Linked DNA regions of Arabidopsis thaliana. The protein of the gene in region 1 interacts with the protein of each later gene in a pairwise test. Each region holds a gene or a part of one and is shown on either strand. Other genes may lie near its edges.

Region 1 (7,526 bases):
TCCATCTAGATATGGAACGAATACAGTGTTTCATTATTTTTTTTGATGTATACATAATAATTGTCATACAATACTATTAATCTAATCTAATTAATATTTCCTTTAAAATGGTTCCAAAAGGCATCACCAACATGGAAGGTGGCAAGCTAGGATCGGAAGAGTCGCCGGTAACAAAGACCTCTACTTGGGAACTTTCGGTACATTTTCCAATAAAATCTATATACTATAAGATATTAAATATACACAAATATATCTAAGTGAATCATACAAATTATGTAGGCACACAGGAAGAGGCTGCTGAGGCTTATGACATTGCAGCCATTAAATTCAGAGGATTAAGCGCAGTGACTAACTTCGACATGAACAGATACAATGTTAAAGCAATCCTCGAGAGCCCGAGTCTACCTATTGGTAGTTCTGCGAAACGTCTCAAGGACGTTAATAATCCGGTTCCAGCTATGATGATTAGTAATAACGTTTCAGAGAGTGCAAATAATGTTAGCGGTTGGCAAAACACTGCGTTTCAGCATCATCAGGGAATGGATTTGAGCTTATTGCAGCAACAGCAGGAGAGGTACGTTGGTTATTACAATGGAGGAAACTTGTCTACCGAGAGTACTAGGGTTTGTTTCAAACAAGAGGAGGAACAACAACACTTCTTGAGAAACTCGCCGAGTCACATGACTAATGTTGATCATCATAGCTCGACCTCTGATGATTCTGTTACCGTTTGTGGAAATGTTGTTAGTTATGGTGGTTATCAAGGATTCGCAATCCCTGTTGGAACATCGGTTAATTACGATCCCTTTACTGCTGCTGAGATTGCTTACAACGCAAGAAATCATTATTACTATGCTCAGCATCAGCAACAACAGCAGATTCAGCAGTCGCCGGGAGGAGATTTTCCGGTGGCGATTTCGAATAACCATAGCTCTAACATGTACTTTCACGGGGAAGGTGGTGGAGAAGGGGCTCCAACGTTTTCAGTTTGGAACGACACTTAGAAAAATAAGTAAAAGATCTTTTAGTTGTTTGCTTTGTATGTTGCGAACAGTTTGATTCTGTTTTTCTTTTTCCTTTTTTTGGGTAATTTTCTTATAACTTTTTTCATAGTTTCGATTATTTGGATAAAATTTTCAGATTGAGGATCATTTTATTTATTTATTAGTGTAGTCTAATTTAGTTGTATAACTATAAAATTGTTGTTTGTTTCCGAATCATAAGTTTTTTTTTTTTTTGGTTTTGTATTGATAGGTGCAAGAGACTCAAAATTCTGGTTTCGATGTTAACAGAATTCAAGTAGCTGCCCACTTGATTCGATTTGTTTTGTATTTGGAAACAACCATGGCTGGTCAAGGCCCAGCCCGTTGTGCTTCTGAACCTGCCTAGTCCCATGGACTAGATCTTTATCCGCAGACTCCAAAAGAAAAAGGATTGGCGCAGAGGAATTGTCATGGAAACAGAATGAACAAGAAAGGGTGAAGAAGATCAAAGGCATATATGATCTTTACATTCTCTTTAGCTTATGTATGCAGAAAATTCACCTAATTAAGGACAGGGAACGTAACTTGGCTTGCACTCCTCTCACCAAACCTTACCCCCTAACTAATTTTAATTCAAAATTACTAGTATTTTGGCCGATCACTTTATATAATAAGATACCAGATTTATTATATTTACGAATTATCAGCATGCATATACTGTATATAGTTTTTTTTTTGTTAAAGGGTAAAATAATAGGATCCTTTTGAATAAAATGAACATATATAATTAGTATAATGAAAACAGAAGGAAATGAGATTAGGACAGTAAGTAAAATGAGAGAGACCTGCAAAGGATAAAAAAGAGAAGCTTAAGGAAACCGCGACGATGAAAGAAAGACATGTCATCAGCTGATGGATGTGAGTGATGAGTTTGTTGCAGTTGTGTAGAAATTTTTACTAAAACAGTTGTTTTTACAAAAAAGAAATAATATAAAACGAAAGCTTAGCTTGAAGGCAATGGAGACTCTACAACAAACTATGTACCATACAGAGAGAGAAACTAAAAGCTTTTCACACATAAAAACCAAACTTATTCGTCTCTCATTGATCACCGTTTTGTTCTCTCAAGATCGCTGCTAATCTCCGGCCGTCCCTATGGAAGCTAGCGCCGGTCTTGTCGCCGGTTCTCATAACCGTAATGAACTAGTCGTCATTCACAACCATGAAGAGGTTTTTCACATTTACTTTTTCTCATCACTTACCAAAGTTTTTTTTTACCAACGCTAGTAAAATATTATTGCATTTTTTCGTTTTATTTGGTTACTATTTTTTAAAAATTCGTATGTTTTGGGAATAAAAATATGATCATTTTTTAAAATCATCTTCTTATTATGAGACAAAAATTTATAATCTGTATTCTGTAGTTGCAATAATGTTGTAGAAAATTCATATCTTTGTTAGCAAACATAATAATTTTGTTGGTAATATTAAGTTGAGAAGTCAGGTTTAACCATTTTAATCGCTGTCATTTTTTTTATTATCTTTACTTCATTAGAATCTTTTTTTGTTGATTAGAAATTTCAGGTTTTATTTCGTCTTTAAGGAACTTAAACTTTTGTGTAATTATAACAGCCAAAGCCTCTGAAGAATCTAGATGGACAATTCTGTGAGATATGTGGAGATCAGATTGGTTTAACAGTAGAAGGAGACCTCTTCGTAGCTTGCAATGAGTGTGGTTTTCCGGCGTGTAGACCTTGCTATGAGTACGAGAGAAGAGAAGGAACACAAAACTGTCCTCAGTGTAAGACTCGTTACAAGCGTCTCAGAGGTAAGTTATTTATTAATCTCCCTCTGCTCTTGTGTTGTTCGACGAAATGCCTCTATGAAAATTTAAAAAGGCTGTTCCTTTTTTTAGTTTGAACTTGGAGAGTAATGATCTGTTTTTTGGTTTCTGAAGGAAGCCCAAGAGTGGAGGGAGATGAAGACGAAGAAGATATTGATGATATTGAGTATGAATTTAATATCGAACATGAACAAGATAAGCATAAGCATTCTGCTGAGGCTATGCTTTATGGGAAAATGAGCTATGGAAGAGGTCCTGAGGATGATGAGAATGGGAGATTCCCACCTGTTATAGCTGGTGGTCATAGTGGAGAATTTCCAGTTGGAGGAGGTTATGGTAATGGAGAACATGGGCTTCATAAGCGTGTGCACCCATATCCATCATCTGAAGCTGGTGAGTCTCATGGAAATGTTAACTTACATATAGATTTAAGAATGTCTCACAGTGATGATTAGTTAGGGTCATGCATATCTCCATATGTGCAAATAACATAAGTATGAGGCCTTCCAGCTTAATAGTAGATAGGGACATAGTTTCATAAACATGGACTTTGGGTTCTATTACATTCTTTCTATGAAATTCATCAGCAGACCCTTTTTCTAACAATACTTTCCTTTTTGTTTATGTGTGTAATTTTAATGTGGTAGGGAGTGAGGGAGGATGGCGGGAAAGAATGGATGACTGGAAGCTCCAGCATGGAAATCTTGGGCCAGAACCAGATGATGATCCTGAGATGGGACTGTAATGCCTCCACAAACATTTATCTAAGACATCAGTTTTGTATGATTTGGATTCATGCTTACAAAATTTTGGATTTGACTGGAAATGGCTGTAGGATCGACGAGGCACGGCAGCCACTCTCGCGGAAAGTTCCCATTGCCTCAAGCAAGATCAATCCATATCGGATGGTCATCGTCGCTAGGCTTGTGATTCTAGCAGTTTTTCTGCGGTATAGGCTCTTGAATCCAGTGCATGATGCTCTGGGATTATGGCTGACCTCTGTGATCTGTGAAATCTGGTTCGCTGTCTCTTGGATTCTTGATCAGTTCCCCAAGTGGTTCCCTATTGAACGTGAGACCTATCTAGATCGGCTTTCCCTCAGGTAAAATCCACAGATTCTCAAGTAGAAGTCTTAAAATCTATGACGTTGGAGTTTGGATGTAAATATTTTTTGTTTATACAGGTACGAGAGAGAAGGTGAACCAAATATGCTTGCCCCTGTAGATGTCTTTGTCAGTACGGTGGACCCATTGAAGGAGCCTCCCCTCGTCACATCCAACACTGTGCTGTCAATCTTGGCCATGGACTACCCAGTTGAGAAAATCTCCTGCTATGTCTCTGACGACGGTGCTTCAATGCTTACATTCGAATCTCTCTCGGAAACTGCTGAGTTTGCAAGAAAATGGGTTCCCTTCTGTAAGAAATTCTCCATAGAGCCACGGGCACCGGAGATGTACTTCACGTTGAAAGTTGATTATCTCCAGGACAAAGTCCACCCAACATTTGTTAAGGAACGTCGAGCCATGAAGGTCAGTGTATATCACCTGATCTAGTTATACCACCACCCATCTTTTCACTATAATCTAAACTTCATAAGTGAAATTGACATATGACAGAGAGAATATGAGGAGTTCAAGGTCAGGATCAACGCTCAAGTGGCGAAGGCCTCAAAGGTTCCTCTAGAAGGTTGGATCATGCAAGATGGAACACCGTGGCCAGGGAACAACACCAAGGACCACCCCGGTATGATCCAAGTCTTCCTCGGCCACAGCGGAGGATTTGATGTCGAAGGGCATGAGCTTCCTCGGCTTGTGTACGTGTCCCGTGAGAAGCGTCCTGGTTTTCAACACCACAAGAAAGCTGGCGCCATGAATGCCCTGGTAATTTTCTTGATCTGCCTTGGACCAAACAAGAAACTGATCTCCGTGTCTTGGACCTAACCTGATACTTCTGTCAGGTTCGAGTGGCAGGCGTACTCACAAATGCTCCTTTCATGCTGAACTTGGACTGTGATCACTATGTAAACAACAGCAAGGCCGTGAGGGAAGCAATGTGTTTTTTGATGGATCCTCAGATTGGAAAGAAGGTCTGCTATGTTCAGTTCCCTCAAAGGTTTGATGGCATTGACACAAACGATCGTTACGCCAACAGAAACACAGTCTTCTTTGATGTAAGACTCAATTCATATTTTTCCAACTTCTGGTCTAAATGAAAATGTACCCTCTTGCTTACACTCTTGTTTGCTACAGATCAATATGAAAGGTCTAGATGGAATCCAAGGTCCAGTTTACGTTGGTACTGGTTGTGTTTTCAAACGACAAGCTCTGTATGGTTATGAACCACCAAAGGGTCCTAAACGTCCAAAGATGATAAGCTGTGGTTGTTGTCCTTGCTTTGGGCGCCGGAGAAAGAATAAGAAATTTTCCAAGAATGACATGAATGGTGACGTAGCAGCCCTTGGAGGTAAATTATCCCAACAACCTTATAATATCAGTCCATTCTTGCAGTAGATTTCGTTTATGTTGGAATCTTGCGGATCTGATAGTGTTTTTTGGCAGGAGCAGAAGGTGATAAGGAGCATTTGATGTCTGAAATGAACTTTGAGAAAACATTTGGGCAATCATCCATCTTTGTAACCTCAACTTTGATGGAAGAAGGTGGTGTTCCTCCGTCATCAAGTCCTGCAGTGCTCCTTAAAGAGGCAATCCATGTCATAAGCTGCGGTTATGAAGACAAGACTGAGTGGGGAACTGAGGTAATAATACTGAATCGTAGAAATCACCTTCTTATTTGTGATTTAGTAGCTGGCCATTGTAAAAAACGTTTGTGTATCTCGAAATTGCAGCTGGGTTGGATCTATGGCTCTATCACAGAGGATATTTTGACGGGATTCAAGATGCATTGCCGTGGATGGAGGTCTATTTACTGCATGCCTAAGAGGCCTGCATTCAAAGGTTCAGCTCCTATTAATCTATCAGACAGGTTAAACCAGGTTTTGCGTTGGGCACTTGGATCGGTTGAGATATTTTTCAGCCGGCACAGTCCTCTCTGGTATGGCTACAAAGGAGGCAAACTCAAGTGGCTTGAGCGTTTTGCTTATGCCAACACAACAATCTACCCCTTCACATCTATACCACTTCTTGCCTACTGTATCCTTCCAGCCATCTGTCTCCTTACTGACAAATTCATCATGCCACCGGTTAGTAAAATTATCAGAGAAAAGCACTTAGAAGCTGCATCAAATGTGCTAACTATCTGTTTTCCCAATTTTTCTTTCAGATAAGCACATTTGCTAGTCTCTTCTTCATCTCACTGTTTATGTCGATCATTGTAACGGGAATCTTGGAATTGAGATGGAGCGGAGTTAGCATTGAGGAATGGTGGAGAAACGAGCAATTCTGGGTCATTGGAGGAATCTCAGCTCATCTCTTTGCGGTTGTCCAAGGTCTCCTCAAAATCTTAGCAGGCATTGACACAAACTTCACCGTCACATCAAAGGCAACAGATGATGATGACTTTGGAGAACTTTACGCATTCAAATGGACAACACTGCTGATCCCTCCAACAACTGTCTTAATCATAAACATTGTTGGCGTTGTTGCAGGCATCTCAGATGCCATTAACAATGGATATCAGTCTTGGGGACCTCTATTTGGTAAACTCTTCTTCTCCTTTTGGGTCATTGTTCATCTCTACCCATTCCTCAAAGGTCTGATGGGTAGACAGAACAGAACACCAACCATTGTGGTGATTTGGTCAGTGTTATTGGCATCTATCTTCTCTTTGCTTTGGGTAAGAATTGATCCTTTTGTGCTCAAGACCAAAGGACCTGACACTTCCAAGTGTGGCATCAACTGCTGAAGCAAAATCTTTTTCGTCTTCTGAAACTTTTTCTGTACTTTGTCGAGAGTGTTTTCACTTCTCTCTTTGGATTGCATAATTGGATTTTGTTTATTGTATATTAGCCAGTAAAACAGATGGATCTGGGTTTATTGTGAGCGAGTAATGCATTGTAAGAAAATTTGAACAAAACTACTTTTTAGTTACACAGTAAAAGATTCACAGATACTTCCCTCAAGAGACATGTAGTTGCAGTGAAAACCCACAAATCTTGAATGCAAATTTTTAACAGAGAGCCTGAGACTTGTTCTTATATCGTGGAGTTCACAAACAAAATAAAGAAACGACAACAAAAGCCTAAACACACGCACACATCTCATAACAACTTCTCAAGCTGAATATCATTTGATAACATTAAAAAACAAATTGAATTGCCTGAGTTTGTTTAGTTAAAGTCTCACCTCTTATTCTTTCGAAACACCAAGGATCCACTGGGAGAGATGAGTCAAGTATGGCTCAGCCTGGGAGCCTTTGCTCAAGACTGGTCCTAAGCTCTGCAACTCCGAGTTGAACTCCCTTTCGAAATTGCTGGTAGAACACGTAACAGACATATTAGAACAATACCGTGATAATGAAGTTCAAAAATTCTAACAGCAACGGCTTTTGTAGAGATAGTGTAGCCATTAGTTTGAAAAACAATTCCTTGTTACTACTTACAATATGGACTCTGTAACGGTTGTGTCTCTTATCATTGTCTTCTGTGGATGAGACTGGCTATTGATGTCGATAGACGATGATATCAACCACTGTGTGGCTGCAGCATATTGCAGACACACTGATTTCAACTTCTCCATTTTCTG
Region 2 (5,946 bases), on another chromosome or scaffold:
TAGGAGCTTTTTGTGGATATGGGTGATTGGCTTTCCTCTTTGGTCGAGGAGGTGGGAGATGTTCTTTAGTCCCATTCTTCTGAACTTTGAGAAAGTACTTCTGTGCGTGGCTTCGTATCTACAAAACCAATATTCTAGTTACTATCCAACATACATAGAACTTATATCTCCAATTCCACCCCAAAGAACAGAGTTCATAAAATTACTTATATGTAACTTCAGACAAAAGTATGGAATGCATATGTTTGATTGATTACCTGTATCACTGTTTTTGATCCAACAAAGGCCTTTATTTTCTTCCAATCCCGGTCAAATCTGCAATCAAATAGACATGATCATATCAGAAGAAGAAGAACAAATCTCAAAGATTCTATATATCATTAATCAGATAAATGAAGGCAGAGAAGTGAAATCCGTGTCAACATACAGATGAAGGGCTTCAAGGAACTTGTCGTGTTCTTGCTCCGTCCAGTTCTCTCTAGATTTGGTGATAGTGTAAGGCTTTCTAACCTTCTTTGTTGGATCCTCAAAAAACGACATCGTCCTATTGCTCCGTATGGAAACCGGTATCGTTGTTGCCGTGTGGGGAAGAGTATTGAAACCCGGTAGACTCATTTTCATAGGCAAACAATGAGCTTGGCTAGGGTTTACAGTCACCATAAAACTCGACAACACACACAAAGTTCCCTTTTGGTTTGAAACAGAGTTTGTGACTTGAGAGACTTGTGTGAGAGTGGTGGTGGTATAAGCGGGAGAGGGAGACAAGGTTAGAAGTGTAATCTCATTCGAAAAATGGATTTAAGCCGAACACGTGTAAGGAGCCGGTTGCTCTGGTTCAGAGCGTGGGACTAACAACTACAAGCCATGTGGACATTCTCCTAACACTCATGCCACGTACAAATTTAAATCCACGGCACATAAATTGCCACGTGGAATACGATCGTAAGCCAGCAATCTTATTTACGAGATAGCTGCCTAGCTGGGGCCTGGTTCGACTAAAAATGAAGGTTACTTTCTTTTGTAGTTTAGCTCAAATTTTAGTTATGTACGATGATGTGTTTTATGTACGATGATCTCTAAAACACAAACGCAGCATATACAAATACAATACACACACCTATTTCAAACTACTAACCAAACACACAATGCTTTCGAGTTCATCACGACCAGACCCAGAAAACAACAACAAACGTCCCTCTAAGACAAGCTCATCGGATGTTTCTGCAAACCGAGAATAAATAAAAAGAAACAATGATTACAGATATAAGTTGGTTGATACCAACTACACAACACACGACACAGTCTCGAAACACAAAAATTGGGTGTCTCTGTTTTTCGTCTGTGAATCCTAAGGATGTTAAAGTAACAAAAGTAATTAAAAGAGAGAAACTCACAAATGGAGAGACTCTGTTTTTCTTTTTAATCGATCCAACGTGTGATACCATCGTCTCCTACCATTGCCAATATCTCCACACGAACGTCCAACACCGCCTGCAACATTCATTACACAAATTATTTCTGTTTTCCAAGAAGTAGGGTTTTTCAATTTCGGGCCATTTTCTGTAAGGACAGAGACTTACAGAGGAATTCCTGCAGTTAACAAGCCGACATTCGTCCAGAGAACCTTCTAGACTCCAACTCTCCCACACGTCAAAACTATGGCTAGCAAACACAAACTCCATTCTTCTATTGATCTGCACACACACACACCCATGACACAACCACTTTTAGATTCCATAAGAGCAACATTGAGTTACCAATGGAAGTAACACTCTCTAATGTAAGAGCTACCTGCAGTAACTTCCCACCAGCAGCAAATGATCTCAGACCAACAGTGTCCTGGAAAACAAGTTCATGCACCAAAACCAATTTATAATGGTCTATCTGGCATTGTAAGCAAGATAAATGAAAAGTAAGAGAGAGAAAAAGGTTTACCTTGTTTCTGTATGCGATAATGAATTGTGCAGCAGGATCTCGTTTGGATACATTGGACAAAGTATCGAGGAACCAGCCACCGTTTTTCGTTCTTTGCCTGGAAACGTGGAGGCCCGAGAGGTCTTTCGCATACAAGGCTACTACATATCCATCTTTCAGTAGCTCACTTGACTTTCCAATGAACTTCTTACTTGACATTACAAGCTGATTTGGGGAAGACTCTTGCATTACTTCAAGAGGTGTTTTCCTACTTCTGGAATCTTCAGGAGAAGCACATCTAGAACTGGAACTTAATACTTCTTCTGTGTCACTCATAGCAATATCATCTCTTCGTGAAGTACTTTCTTCATTTAACCCTGAGGAACCATCCGTTTTTTGCATGTATTTTTGCTGTGAATGTCTCTTTTTGGCTTTCTTACCGGATCTGCTACGTCTTCCTTCAGGTTTTACGGCAGTATTTTGAGAAACGTGTTGCTGACCAGGGCTCAGAGATTCTTTTAACTCACTAGCCTCTCTACGTACGATCTCAGTGCTGGTGAGAGTACTTTCTCCCTGTTGCCTACTGGTGGATTCCACTATTGCTAATTTCTCGTGTTTGCTAGGTGATTGTTCTTCTTCTTCACTTGCTTCACTTTCCTCAACTTCCTCATCAGAAACAGTGTTACTTGGAATTACACCATCTAAGAAAAATGAATGCAAGATAGAGATAGCCTTCTCCCTTATCTCCATCCATACTTCCTCACTGTAATCTGCACTGCGAGGTAGAATTAACACATTTGGCATTTCCTTCACCTGCAATGAAAACAAGATATAATGGATGCAGGATAAACAACAGAAGAAGATGATGAAACAAGAGAATAGGCAGGCGCAAATGTGAAGTTTAGTCACTGGAAAAGAAAGTCATACCCATGCTTCCATCCATTGTGGACCTTCAGCACCGTCAAGGGCGCAGCCAGCTATAGTGCCATCAATTAGAAGTTGTTTCACAGCACAATCATCCAACAGCTGGCAGCTTCCAGTATTTACAAGAAAAGCCCCTAATACATAAAATCAACCAGAATTGAAGGGAATGCGAGAAAGCAGAAGTTCATCTTCAATTCACATTCATGGAGAATCAAATTTCATTTGACAAGAAAACTCATACCAGGTTTTATATGCTGCAAACACTCTGCATTGAGTATCTGAACCGTGTCATTTGTTAATGCACAATGTAGCGAAATGACATCACTTGCTGCTAGAAGATCATTCAATGTATCCATTCTTCGAGCAGCACGTGGGAATCTCGAGGGCCTGATTCGTTCTTCATCTCCCTGAACAGACGCAAACGCAACTATTGACAACAAATATAACATCCAAGGGAGAGGAACTTGAAAGAGAGCCATCATAGTAAGCAGTTTAGGAATGTAGTAGCTAAGAACTCAGCACTTTTTTTGGTCCCTAAAGAGTCAGTTTACACTAAGATATTAAAAGCTTAGCGAGACATTGCCAACAAACATACCTCTGGGACATCGAAGTAGAGCACACTCATCTTGAAAGCCAAGCTTCTACTAGCTAAATACCGAGCCGATACAGATCTGCCAACGATACCCAAAACCATACCACGGCACCGTCTCATTCCCCGGCAAAGAGGCTGAAGCGATCCGAGCCAACCAGACGCCGATAGAGCGTGTCGCGAGAGTAAATGCGTCCGTCGAAGGAGTCCAAGGATGAGCGCCATGACGGTATCCGCGATTTCCTCGGCTCGTGAAGTATCTACATGGACAAGTCGGAGACCTAGGTCGGCGGCGAGAGTCGAATCGACAGCGCGATCAGCAGAGCCAAGGCAGAGAATGAGCTGGTGAGGACGGAGTCGGCGTTGAGCTGCTCGTGGAAGATACGCGAGGGAATGGAGGAGAACGGCGGTGGCGGACTCGATCTTACCATCGGCGATGCGGCTGAGCGGGACGTATTCGACACCAGCAACGCCGGCGAGGGAGTCTTGCTCGAGCGCACAATCCTCTATACAGTTGAGTGTAACGACGTGAGGCGACGCCGGTGACGGCTGGTCGCGATGTGGCATTGTCGCAGACGAACGGATCTTGCTCATCTCCTCCTTCTTCTCGCTACTCTCGAGGAGTGAAATTTTGATTTTGGGAACATAATGATTTAGGGTTCAATGTTGTAAACTCTTACAAAATTAAGGGGCTAAATTTCATTTATAATAATTTTCAGGGCCCAAAATACAATTTAAACAAATTGACAATAATTTTTTAGTCCAATGCTCATGCTCCCCCGATAAGACGTCATCGGTTTGACATTTATGATAAACGACGCCGTCTTCCACTTGGCTTGTTGTAATAATTTAATTTACTAATTGCAAACAGATACTGAATACAGGTGAAACATGTACATTCCCTATTCCACATTATTTCCTGACCAGAAACCGAAAGACAAACTCCAGCGTTTGACAACAACAACAATAACACGAAATCTCTTTCTACACAAGAGCAACGACATAGACAGACTTGAGAAAAGAAAGAACAAAAGAACATGACTGGAGCAAGATGGGAACTCTCTTTTGTGCTACTAAAGTATATGAACAGAGCCGAATATATATATATATTCAAAAGGACACAAACAGGTGAAAACCAAAAGCTCTATACATCTATCTACCAAAATTCTATCTCTTTTATAACCCACTACGTTACCGACATTCTTAGTAGATCTCGAAATGTCTAAGTGGGTTTTTAGTTTATGGTAGGTGATGATCAGAGAAACCTCCTACGAAGGTTACTAGTTGTTGCTTGATACGAACGCATGAGTAATCCAACTCCAATGCCTACACCAAGACACATCCCAAGGCCTATCCCAACTCCGACTCTGACTCCTGCATTGAACCATGAGAGCTGACCATCCTCATCAACGTACATTCCTTCAGGGTAATATCTCTGTGCCATTTTCATATCTGAGTCATCGTATTCATCAACTTCTGATTCCATCATCTGCATAAACGAAACGACAAACAAGATAAAGCACCAAAAAAAGTGCAAAGAGAGTCTATTGACCTATATCCATATCTCAATTTCTGATCAGTCAACAATTCTACAATTTTCAAATTCAGCTGTAGAGTCAAAGAAAACATTCAAGCAGGAGCTAAATTCACCAGAAACTTGCGAGTGATCTTAATAACTAAATATCTGCTACAGCATTCATAACTCACAAAACTAGACGAAAGAAGCAACCTTTTCAAATCTCAATCCCAAGTTATTAAGAATCGTAACTTAAGGGCTTGGACAATCACCAAACAGAGAATTGTGAAATCAGAATCATACCTGTACTTTGCTTTGACGGGCCAATTCATCACCAATGGTACCAATGTCTTGCTCTTTGCCAACTTCCTCATCCTCAGGGATAGCGTCGAGTGTCACGTGCCTAGCCACCTTCCTCCTCGGACTCGCCTGAATCGTCTTGGTCAATATCACCGGGACACCACCACAACAACCAGCTATATAAACCTCGACGGACGGAGACGAGACTCCAAACTTTGGCTGGAAAAACACAGAGGCAGAAGGACCTGACACGTGTCCGTTTCCCATAGCAATGTAACAATCCATGCCCCATCCAGTCTTGGGATCACTCACAGTTCCATTGTTCCAAGCACCTTCGATTCTATCTAGGTTCCCACACAAGACCATATCCTCGTTATCATAAACCTCGAAATCAACGCATCCGGTAACGCGAACGGTCTCAGTGCTCACGTAAGTCACCTCCGACGATTCCCGGTCGACTCTGTCACGGCGGAGTTTAAGCGACGCCGTCTGCGACGAAGGAACGCGAACGCCGTTAACCTCAAGAGAAGCACCGGTTTCGCGACGAGGGTGACGGAGGGTGAGGAAGTCAGGGACGTTCTCAACGACGCAAGGAGCGATACGGACGTAGAACAAACGAACCTCCAGCCACGCCGATTGCGACAACGAAATTGATGATGCCGGAGACGGCGGCGATACGGTGGAGGTATTCATGTGGTACGAT

The links.
Region 2: the proteins of IRX3 (region 1) and AN interact in a two-hybrid assay, tested with the Arabidopsis thaliana proteins (one large-scale study listed by BioGRID).

Annotation. Positions count from the first base shown.
Region 1 is NC_003076.8:5,736,020-5,743,545, reverse strand, and holds IRX3 (Cellulose synthase family protein), read left to right. Parts: upstream 1-2,045; 5' UTR 2,046-2,138; coding exon 2,139-2,213; intron 2,214-2,615; coding exon 2,616-2,811; intron 2,812-2,940; coding exon 2,941-3,219; intron 3,220-3,473; coding exon 3,474-3,567; intron 3,568-3,661; coding exon 3,662-3,928; intron 3,929-4,009; coding exon 4,010-4,355; intron 4,356-4,442; coding exon 4,443-4,706; intron 4,707-4,783; coding exon 4,784-4,996; intron 4,997-5,075; coding exon 5,076-5,289; intron 5,290-5,384; coding exon 5,385-5,581; intron 5,582-5,671; coding exon 5,672-6,025; intron 6,026-6,105; coding exon 6,106-6,687; 3' UTR 6,688-6,916; downstream 6,917-7,526. Other genes in the region: BBM (Integrase-type DNA-binding superfamily protein), read left to right, coding at 121-197, 280-1,004; AT5G17410 (Spc97 / Spc98 family of spindle pole body (SBP) component), read right to left, coding at 7,131-7,254, 7,384-7,523.
Region 2 is NC_003070.9:185,310-191,255, reverse strand, and holds AN (NAD(P)-binding Rossmann-fold superfamily protein), read right to left. Parts: upstream 4,112-5,946; 5' UTR 4,022-4,111; coding exon 3,434-4,021; intron 3,246-3,433; coding exon 3,080-3,245; intron 2,973-3,079; coding exon 2,842-2,972; intron 2,728-2,841; coding exon 1,936-2,727; intron 1,840-1,935; coding exon 1,792-1,839; intron 1,695-1,791; coding exon 1,581-1,694; intron 1,492-1,580; coding exon 1,420-1,491; 3' UTR 784-1,419; downstream 1-783. Other genes in the region: ASG4 (Homeodomain-like superfamily protein), read right to left, coding at 1-118, 258-315, 428-660; AT1G01500 (Erythronate-4-phosphate dehydrogenase family protein), read right to left, coding at 4,683-4,916, 5,247-5,946. UniProt on the Arabidopsis thaliana protein: Involved in controlling the equilibrium between tubular and stacked structures in the Golgi complex. Required for cortical microtubules (MTs) arrangement that confers cell shape.